Rattus norvegicus: one gene and its partner. The protein of the gene in region 2 purifies or fractionates together with the protein of the main gene of each other region. This does not show direct contact. Links are inferred from orthologs where the notes say so. Each region holds a gene or a part of one and is shown on either strand. Other genes may lie near its edges.

Region 1 (3,647 bases), on a different chromosome or scaffold from region 2:
GAGGATGCGCAAGAGCTGCGACCGTGACAGGTGATGATGGCCGAATGCCTGGAGGAGGCAGAGGCGGCGGCGGCGGGGGCGGAGGCAGCCCCTGCACTTCACCTTGTGGGAGTGGATGAACGGGTACAGTCTCACACACTGGGGCGGCTCTGGCTACCGGGGGAGAGGGCTGTACTAGAGGAGGAGCGATTGGAGGAGGAGCTGGGTGAAGGACACCAGGGGCAATCTGAAGAGGGGCTGGAGGCGGGGGCACTGCTGGGGCCTGCAAGGCAGGGGCTGGAGGAGGAGGCGGGGGAGGCACCGGTGGGGGAGGAGTTGAGGTCATGGAAGCTCTCAGTGAGGAGGTGGACAGGGCAGACGGGAGAGGTGGTGGAGGAGGTGGGGGCGTGGGGCTCACAAACACGGGTGTTCTGCCTGCAGCTGGGGACTGGGGACGATTCTCTATCAAACCCGCAGCAGAGCTGAAACGACAGACACCCTAGACTTCAGTGACCGGCAAGCTGAGGAAGGAGACTGCAGAAGCAGTAAACCACTGTAGCTGCCCCTCAGTAAACCCACTAACAGGCTCCCATGGAAGCCTTCAACTATTTAACATTATTGCAAAGAAGTAGAAGTGCACAAATTCGCGTGAGGCTTTGGTTTATAATAATCAAACTTTCCCAACAGCCTCGATGTTGTAATTTCACGTCTCCTCGGGAGTTCCCTGCTTACCTCAGTAAATAGTGTTCAGTTCTACGCTGTGACAGGAGGAGGGGCTGCAGTGACCCCCCCCCCCCATGCACACACACACCGACTGCACTGACTTACAGCAGTGTTTGGCTAATGTGATGATGGCGTTGTGTACCGAGGCTGTTTCGGCTCATCATGTCATTTCAGTGAAGCCAATGCCAGCTCATTAAAAACCACAAAGGAAACTCACACCTCTTTCTTCCTAGGGCTGACAGACCAAATAAGCCAGTGATAGAGGCTTTGGTGGCTTATCCTGTTTTAAATGGGAAAGCTGGTCTGTATTTATTTCTCTATCAGGAAATCTCTTTTTCTAAGTTGGACAACTGATCGCATAAAATTTAAAACAGCCTTACTGAAATACTGCCACGAGCGACTTCCTACCATCCTGAGGCCGCCAGACTGTAAGACTTCATCTTTCCTTGATAACTATATACAATCATGCCAGTTAACAAAGCTGTAATCACACACGAAGACACTGATCCTGAAAGCAATTAGCTAAACGTCCCCAGGAGACCATGCCAGCTCTAACGAGAGGAAAGCGACCACAGGTCATGTCTAAAGGCACTAGCTCCTGTGTTTGTCATTTATGGATGGTCTCCGGCAGCTCCCACACAAAGATGGCAGACTTGTGATAAAGTGTTTATCCAGAGAGCCTAAAATGTTTACTACTGATCCTTCAAAGGGAAAGCTCGCTGATCCCCGAGACAAAGCGTCATGGCTGCCCCACATACCTGACACAGGTGGGGGTGGGTCTTGCATCCCCTGCTGCATGCATTGGTGGAGGTGGAGGTGGTTCATGGGGTCTGACTAAGACCCTCTCCTCAGCTCTGCTTAGGAGTTCACTCATCTGACTGAATGGCAAGGCAGAGAGTGAGTAAGATCCATCCATGTGGTCCACGTATGTCTGCGGCCTTAAAGAAATACACAGCATCAGTGTGAAACACAGCATCAGTGTGAAACACAGTATCAGTATCAGTGTGAAACACACAGTATCAGTATCAGTGTGAAACACAGTATCAGTGTGAAACACACAGCATCAGTGTGAAACACACAGCATCAGTGTGAAATACACAGTATCAGTGTGAAACACACAGCATCAGTGTGAAACACACAGTATCAGTATCAGTGTGAAACACAGTATCAGTGTGAAACACACAGCATCAGTGTGAAATACACAGCATCAGTGTGAAACACACAGCATCAGTGTGAAATACACAGTAACACACAGCATCAGTGTGAAATACACAGTATCAGTGTGAAACACACAGCATCAGTGTGAAACACACAGCATCAGTGTGAAAAACACAGCATCAGTGTGAAACACACAGCATCAGTGTGAAACACACAGTATCAGTCTGAAACACACAGTATCAGTATCAGTGTGAAACACAGTATCAGTGTGAAACACACAGCATCAGTGTGAAATACACAGTATCAGTGTGAAACACACAGCATCAGTGTGAAACACACAGTATCAGTGTGAAACACACAGCATCAGTGTGAAACACACAGTATCAGTGTGAAACACACAGTATCAGTATCAGTGTGAAACACAGTATCAGTGTGAAACACACAGTATCAGTGTGAAACACAGTATCAGTGTGAAACACACAGTATCAGTGTGAAACACAGTATCAGTGTGAAACACACAGCACCAGTGTGTCTGTTAGAAACTGTAGCTCCACAGTCAATCTCTTCAGTGCCGTAGTTTATTTCTGTGTGACTTGTATTAACCAATGACTGATGAGCGAAGTATAAAGTGGAACTTATCACCACTCGGACATTCTGTTGTCTTAAACTAATGGCTTCCAAAACTCTTGTAATGAGAACAAACTCTCCCTGCTTCTAGAGTCAGAGAGAGGCAAGAAAACTCAGAAGACAGCCGGGTAACATGAGATTTAGATAAACAAGACTCTAGGTGAGCACGTGAGGGTTTGTGATGGCAGCACACTCCGGGAGCACAGCTGGCTTAACAGACGTGCACAGCGCATGTCAGAAGCTCCTGAACCTACACAGTAGACGGGCCGGACGTCACCCATGTCTAACCGTAGCAGAAATGCTTACTACATGGGGTGTTTTTTGTTTTTTTTTTTTTTAATTTCTGCTTTTCAGTTTAAGCAGCTAAATAGTATCTCTCAGATATGTTTGCTCTTAAAATAGGCCCCGAAATTTTAGTTATGCCTCCAAGACTTTCTATGTGTTTTTAAAAGGAAACATTACATTATTTTCCAATAAAATCAGTATGGCAACATATACATAGGTTTTTTTTTTCTTTTCCACAGAGGCTTGAAAGTCTGTCTGTTACGGTAGCAGGTTACTTAGATAGGGCTCCTGGCCACTGAGAAAGGAACAGGATCTAACCCACATGTCTGTAAAAGAAAGTAATTCTGTCTGAAATCCCTGACGTATCTGAACTTAAGGATGTGGAAAAGAAAGGAAGTCGGGGGACAGAGAAAAAACAAAGTCAAACTTCTTCTTAACTCCTGCTTCCTATGAGACAAGAATCAATACTAAAATTAAAAATATTGCAGATACACGCTCTTATGGCATTCTAATACACTCTACCTCAGACACGAGGCAGTACTTCAGCCTTCAGATAAAAGCTAAAAGTGTACACTTTAAACTGTTTTCCTACAAGCGACAACACAAAGTCCAAATATGAAAATGACCTGCCCGAGCAGGCTAGAACTTAGCAGGTTCGGTGATCAGGGTTGGAATTATTTTTATCGTTAGAAAGCCTTGCAACTCAAGGGTTCAAAAGCTTAAGATCTGGAAGTATAGAAGTGTAGGTACTGCAGGTAAATCCAATGTTTACCATTCATCAGAAAATAGATAAGTAAGAGAAACCTTGTCTCAAAATGAGAGGCTGGGCCGTTAGCAACTTCGATGTGCTTGTGGAGGAGATCGGCATCATCTTC
Region 2 (4,327 bases):
AGCTCACGGTGAAGTTGCTTCAACGGTGTCATGGGTCTTTGTAGCGATACCAGAATTAAAGTCATTTTCCTGCCCCTCGATACTCTGCCCAGGCTATCCCGTTTCCGCAATTCTCTCCAGGCTGCCTCTCTGTAGAGTGGGCTGCGTGAGACCTTCGAGCCTCCCCTCTGTGTCTTCTGAAGAATCATGTTGGTTTCTGAAGCATCTGACTGTGAATATCAATCTGAGTTTTTGTCAAATCAGTCATTCGCCGTCACTAAGCCTCAGGGTTTTTGCCCCATGGGATACCCCCACCCCCACCCCCATTGAGAAGAGGTGTTGATATGTAGTCTAGGCTGGCCTCAAATGTATTCTCCTACCTCAGCAACTCCAATGCTGGCGGTGTGCTGCCACTACGTCCAGCTCTGCAAATGGGATCGAGTGAGGAAATGAATGTAAGTCTCCTGACACATTCAGAGTAATCCATCAATGTCAGGTTTCCTCCTTTCTGCTAAGGCTATGAGGGGAAGAAGAGTGTGGGAAGGGAGGTGGGGCACAGGAGATTGCAGCTCAAAATCACATTGTAAGCACCATCTCCCGGTTTACAGAAGAGCAGTAAGGGGAGCTGAGACCTGTGTCTCTCGATCTCTGGTTCTGAGACTGTGGCGGACCCATTGAGCTTCCCACAAAGGCCTCTCAGTCCTTCCAGAAAAGCTCCTAGTAGATCCCTCCTTCCCCAGTCTCCGTTCTGATGGTCATCTGCCCTGAAAGAGTTAAGCCTCCAGCCTCCCCTTCCTGGCCAGTGGAGATTAGAAAGATCGGATTTATTTCTCTTAATAAACAGAAAAGAAGCTGGCCCAGGCAGGTGACAGGGAAACAATCTGAACAATTGGAGGCTGGAGCAAAAGGGAGCAGGCTGCCCTCAGAAGTACCTGCGGCCACCTGCAGCCTCGGAAAGACAACCGCTCAGGGCAGAGGGTGTCACCCAGGCACGTGGACTCTGTGAGGCCAGCCTATTGCCCAGAAATCCCAGTGCTACTCAATACCAAACACAAGACAGGAGGCTAGGCCGCTGACCTGCCAACCCTAGGAGGCTCAAGTACTAACTTACCCCTATAGCCCTCTGCCTCCAGGCTGGTCACCTGAAAAAGAGAGTCACCTCCCTAAGATAGCCCACTCAACCACTATCCTGCCTGACCATCTGACCACAACCCGTATTGCTGCCTTTCTGACACAAGCTCTCTGTGTCAGAGGGGTATAACTTCACCCTGAATTCTAGTGGGGAGCCCTGGGACACATTCCCCTCCAGTTAGGGGCTGGAGAACACTTGGAAACACCACCCCAAGCAAACCTTCCCTCAGGGCTTGGCCCATCCATCTCAATCTAAGCGCCCAAATTTCTATTTGTGGCTGGGCTGCAAGGGAGCGGGGCCCTTTTCCAAAAGGAAGATGGGCCGGATGCAATCATACAAGAGGCTTTACACCCTCTTCCTGACCCCTAACGTTCTTTCTAACTTGCCAGAGGTAGTTAAAGGACACCGAAGGGAAACACAGCTAGATTGGAATGGGCCCCGATCCAGGCCACTTCCTCACCTTCAACACTTTAACTTGGCGGTATAGGAAAGATAAACTTCAGCAGCGGCTGGCCTCTCTACCCTCTAGCAGAGACTAAAGGTCTCCCTACCAAACCGAAGGTAGAAGCAGGAGATGAGGGGAAAGCCGGACAAGTGGCCAAAAGTACAGTGACCTTAACAGGGATAGAAGACTCCCTGTTCCTTCCCGTTTCTGTTTCTCGGGCCTCCCATCCCTTAGGTTCCAGGGAGAGCCATGGGCTCAAAACTTCCAAAGACTCGGAAAGGGCTGCTGGAGTTCACCTGGAGAGCCCATTTCACTTGCGCCTCAGTTTCCCCACTTTCAACACAAGCAGGTTCCTACGGGGACTAGGGAGAGTACTGAGAGAGGAGGAGCGGCCTCTGGTTCAGGATGGTGATCTCACCACTCAGGAGGTGGATGCTTGTGGTTTGGCCCAGGTAAGGGGGGTGTGGGGTGTGGAGATGGGAAAAGCTAACACTGCTAACAACCTAAGGCAAAGGACTCCGCGCTGAGTACTTTGTGGAGCTGGTAACCAGGATCTACCTGGAGGGCAAAAAAAAAAAAAAACCTCCTTTTTGAGTAGGCTGACCTTAAAGACCCAAAGAGACTGCCATTCCAAGACCCAAGGCCACCTGCCTCTCCCATTGGCCCCTGGCCAGTGTCAAATCTCCGACCCCCTGACTCAGCAGAGGGCAGAACCTGGGAGAGGGGAAGTGTCTTTCCACCAGGAGGGCCAGCCAGCCAGCACTTCCTGCTTAAACCGGGGGACCCCTGCCCCAGACAGGGGTCTCTGCCCCTCAAAGTTGGATAGACTGTGTCCCTGGAGCGGCGCAGGTCTTATCTTATGGTACCTTGGGCTCTTCACTTCATCCAAAACCACTGCCTAAGGGACAAGCCGTCCACATACAGCCGACCCCCACCCACCCACCCCAGAGGACCCACCCTGCCACACCCTTGGCGCGCTCAACCCAGGTGCCAGGCCACCTCACCTCGGCTTTTGCCCTTGGACCGCTTGGCCTTGTCCTCCGCTTTCTTGGCCCGCGGGGCGGCGGACTCGGCGCCCTCGGCCCCAGCCGCCTTCTTCTTGCGCCGTTTGCCCCGCAGCCAGCTGAAGGCGCGGCGGAGGCCGGAGCGGGACTTCTTCCTGCGCGGGGGGCCGCCGGGGCTCCCAGGCTCGTCGGCCGCAGGTGCGGCGGGGGGCGCGCGGGCCGCCATGGCGCGGGGCTGGGGACGCGCGGTGCCAGCGGCGGGGGTCAGGCCCCCTGCAGCGCGGCGCCCATGCGCGGGGGCGGCCGCCGCTGGAGACGCGCCCGGAGAAAAAAGTTTGGGCGGCGGAGGCCGAGGGAGAGCTGCGGGGGCGGGGGCAGCTCGGGCGGGGCCGCGGGGCGGGCGGGGCGCGAGCGGCGGGAGCGGCCGTCGGGGGCAGGGGGGGAGCGGTAGCAGCGCAGCGGCAAACCGCCCCTCCCCACCGGCCGTGCCCCGAGGGCGAGGTCCGGCTGCAGAGAAGGGGTTCCTCGTCCCCACTCCCCAAATTTCCAGGATCTGTCTCTCTGAAGAAGTTTGGGATCCGTAAGGCAGGAAAGGGCGCAGCGAGGTCCTGGGCTTGAACCATCCGGTGTCTCCTGCGGTTGGGAAAGACTTTTGCCCAGATACCTAGGACCTGTGGCAGGCATTCCCCTGGCTCAGGACCACAGCGGGGGGCCCCAGCCTCCAGCAATGCTCTGTGTTCCTGATTGTTCCTGATTCATTCTTGAGCACCTAGAGTGGGATGATCCGGCCTCAGTTTACCCTTAACAGGGCTGTGATTCCCCCAGGGCACTCATATTAAGACTCGGGCTTTCCCATGGAGATGCTCAACTAAGATAAATTAGGGTGGGACTTAAGGTAGGTGACTACTGAGTGCCTGGGGAGGCTGGTAAGAAAGCACCTTTAGAAGTCTTGAAAATGCTGTGTTCATTTCCTTGCAGGCCTCTGGTGCTTTATTATAGCTGACCAAGCCCTTTTGTATCTCTGAGTTTACAAGCTGTGAGGAAAGCAAGGTAGGGAATGTTTCCCTTTAGGACAGAAGGGAGAGTGAGGCCAGGAGGAGATCAAAGCCAGCATTCTGAAGCTCATCTCTGCCTAGAGGCTAACAAACCTCCGTGGTCCCCGGAAGAGTCTTGTGTGTCCCATGGTTAGAGTTGAGAGTTGTCTAGCATTATCAACTTGACACTTGTCACACAGCTTTCTCCTGGTCCTTGCCTGCATAAGGAAACGAACAGGAATTGATCACTCAGCCTAATCTCCCCTGGCACACAGTAGACCTCACTCTAAAGTTGTAAGGGGACCACAGTGCAGAGTGTGATCTGACCTGCTCCAGCCCCTGAAAGTCCCCAAGGCTTCCAGCTGTGGCGAACCTGGGGGCCAGGCAGGTTACCTACTGTCCACGCTGAGCCTCAGGCAAAGGGATAAAGTAAGTCTGCACTTCATGCATTCAGAACTGTGAAGGCAAATACTGTCTGTTTGTTTTCACTTATAAACAAGTCTTCTCTTAATGCCAGCCGCTCCCAGCAGGAGGAGGGGAAGGTGGATAGGAAACCAAACAGCCAGCCTTGCCCTGGCTTTTGGAAGGGGTGGTCAGGAGAGTGTTCAGTATTCCTGCCCAGTACCCACTCTTTCAGTACTGTCTTCCCAGTGGCAGAGTTTGGCTAAATAATCTAAGTCCTCTTGTTACATAGGATGGACCTATGTAAGCTGTTACCACCACCATTCCTGGC

Evidence for each region. Proteins that work in one complex are often made in the same cells at the same time.
Region 1: the proteins of Nhsl3 (region 2) and Wasf1 purify together in Homo sapiens (affinity purification with mass spectrometry; 3 studies listed by BioGRID and IntAct, with this or other methods). This does not show direct contact. The link is inferred for Rattus norvegicus from reciprocal best matches to the Homo sapiens genes NHSL3 and WASF1.

The regions. Positions count from the first base shown.
Region 1 is NC_086038.1:45,949,887-45,953,533, reverse strand, and holds part of Wasf1 (actin-binding protein WASF1), read right to left. Parts: coding exon 3,577-3,647; intron 1,641-3,576; coding exon 1,461-1,640; intron 462-1,460; coding exon 1-461.
Region 2 is NC_086023.1:146,874,583-146,878,909, forward strand, and holds the start of Nhsl3 (NHS like 3), read right to left. Parts: upstream 2,923-4,327; 5' UTR 2,787-2,922; coding exon 2,561-2,786; intron 1-2,560. UniProt on the Homo sapiens protein: Able to directly activate the TNF-NFkappaB signaling pathway.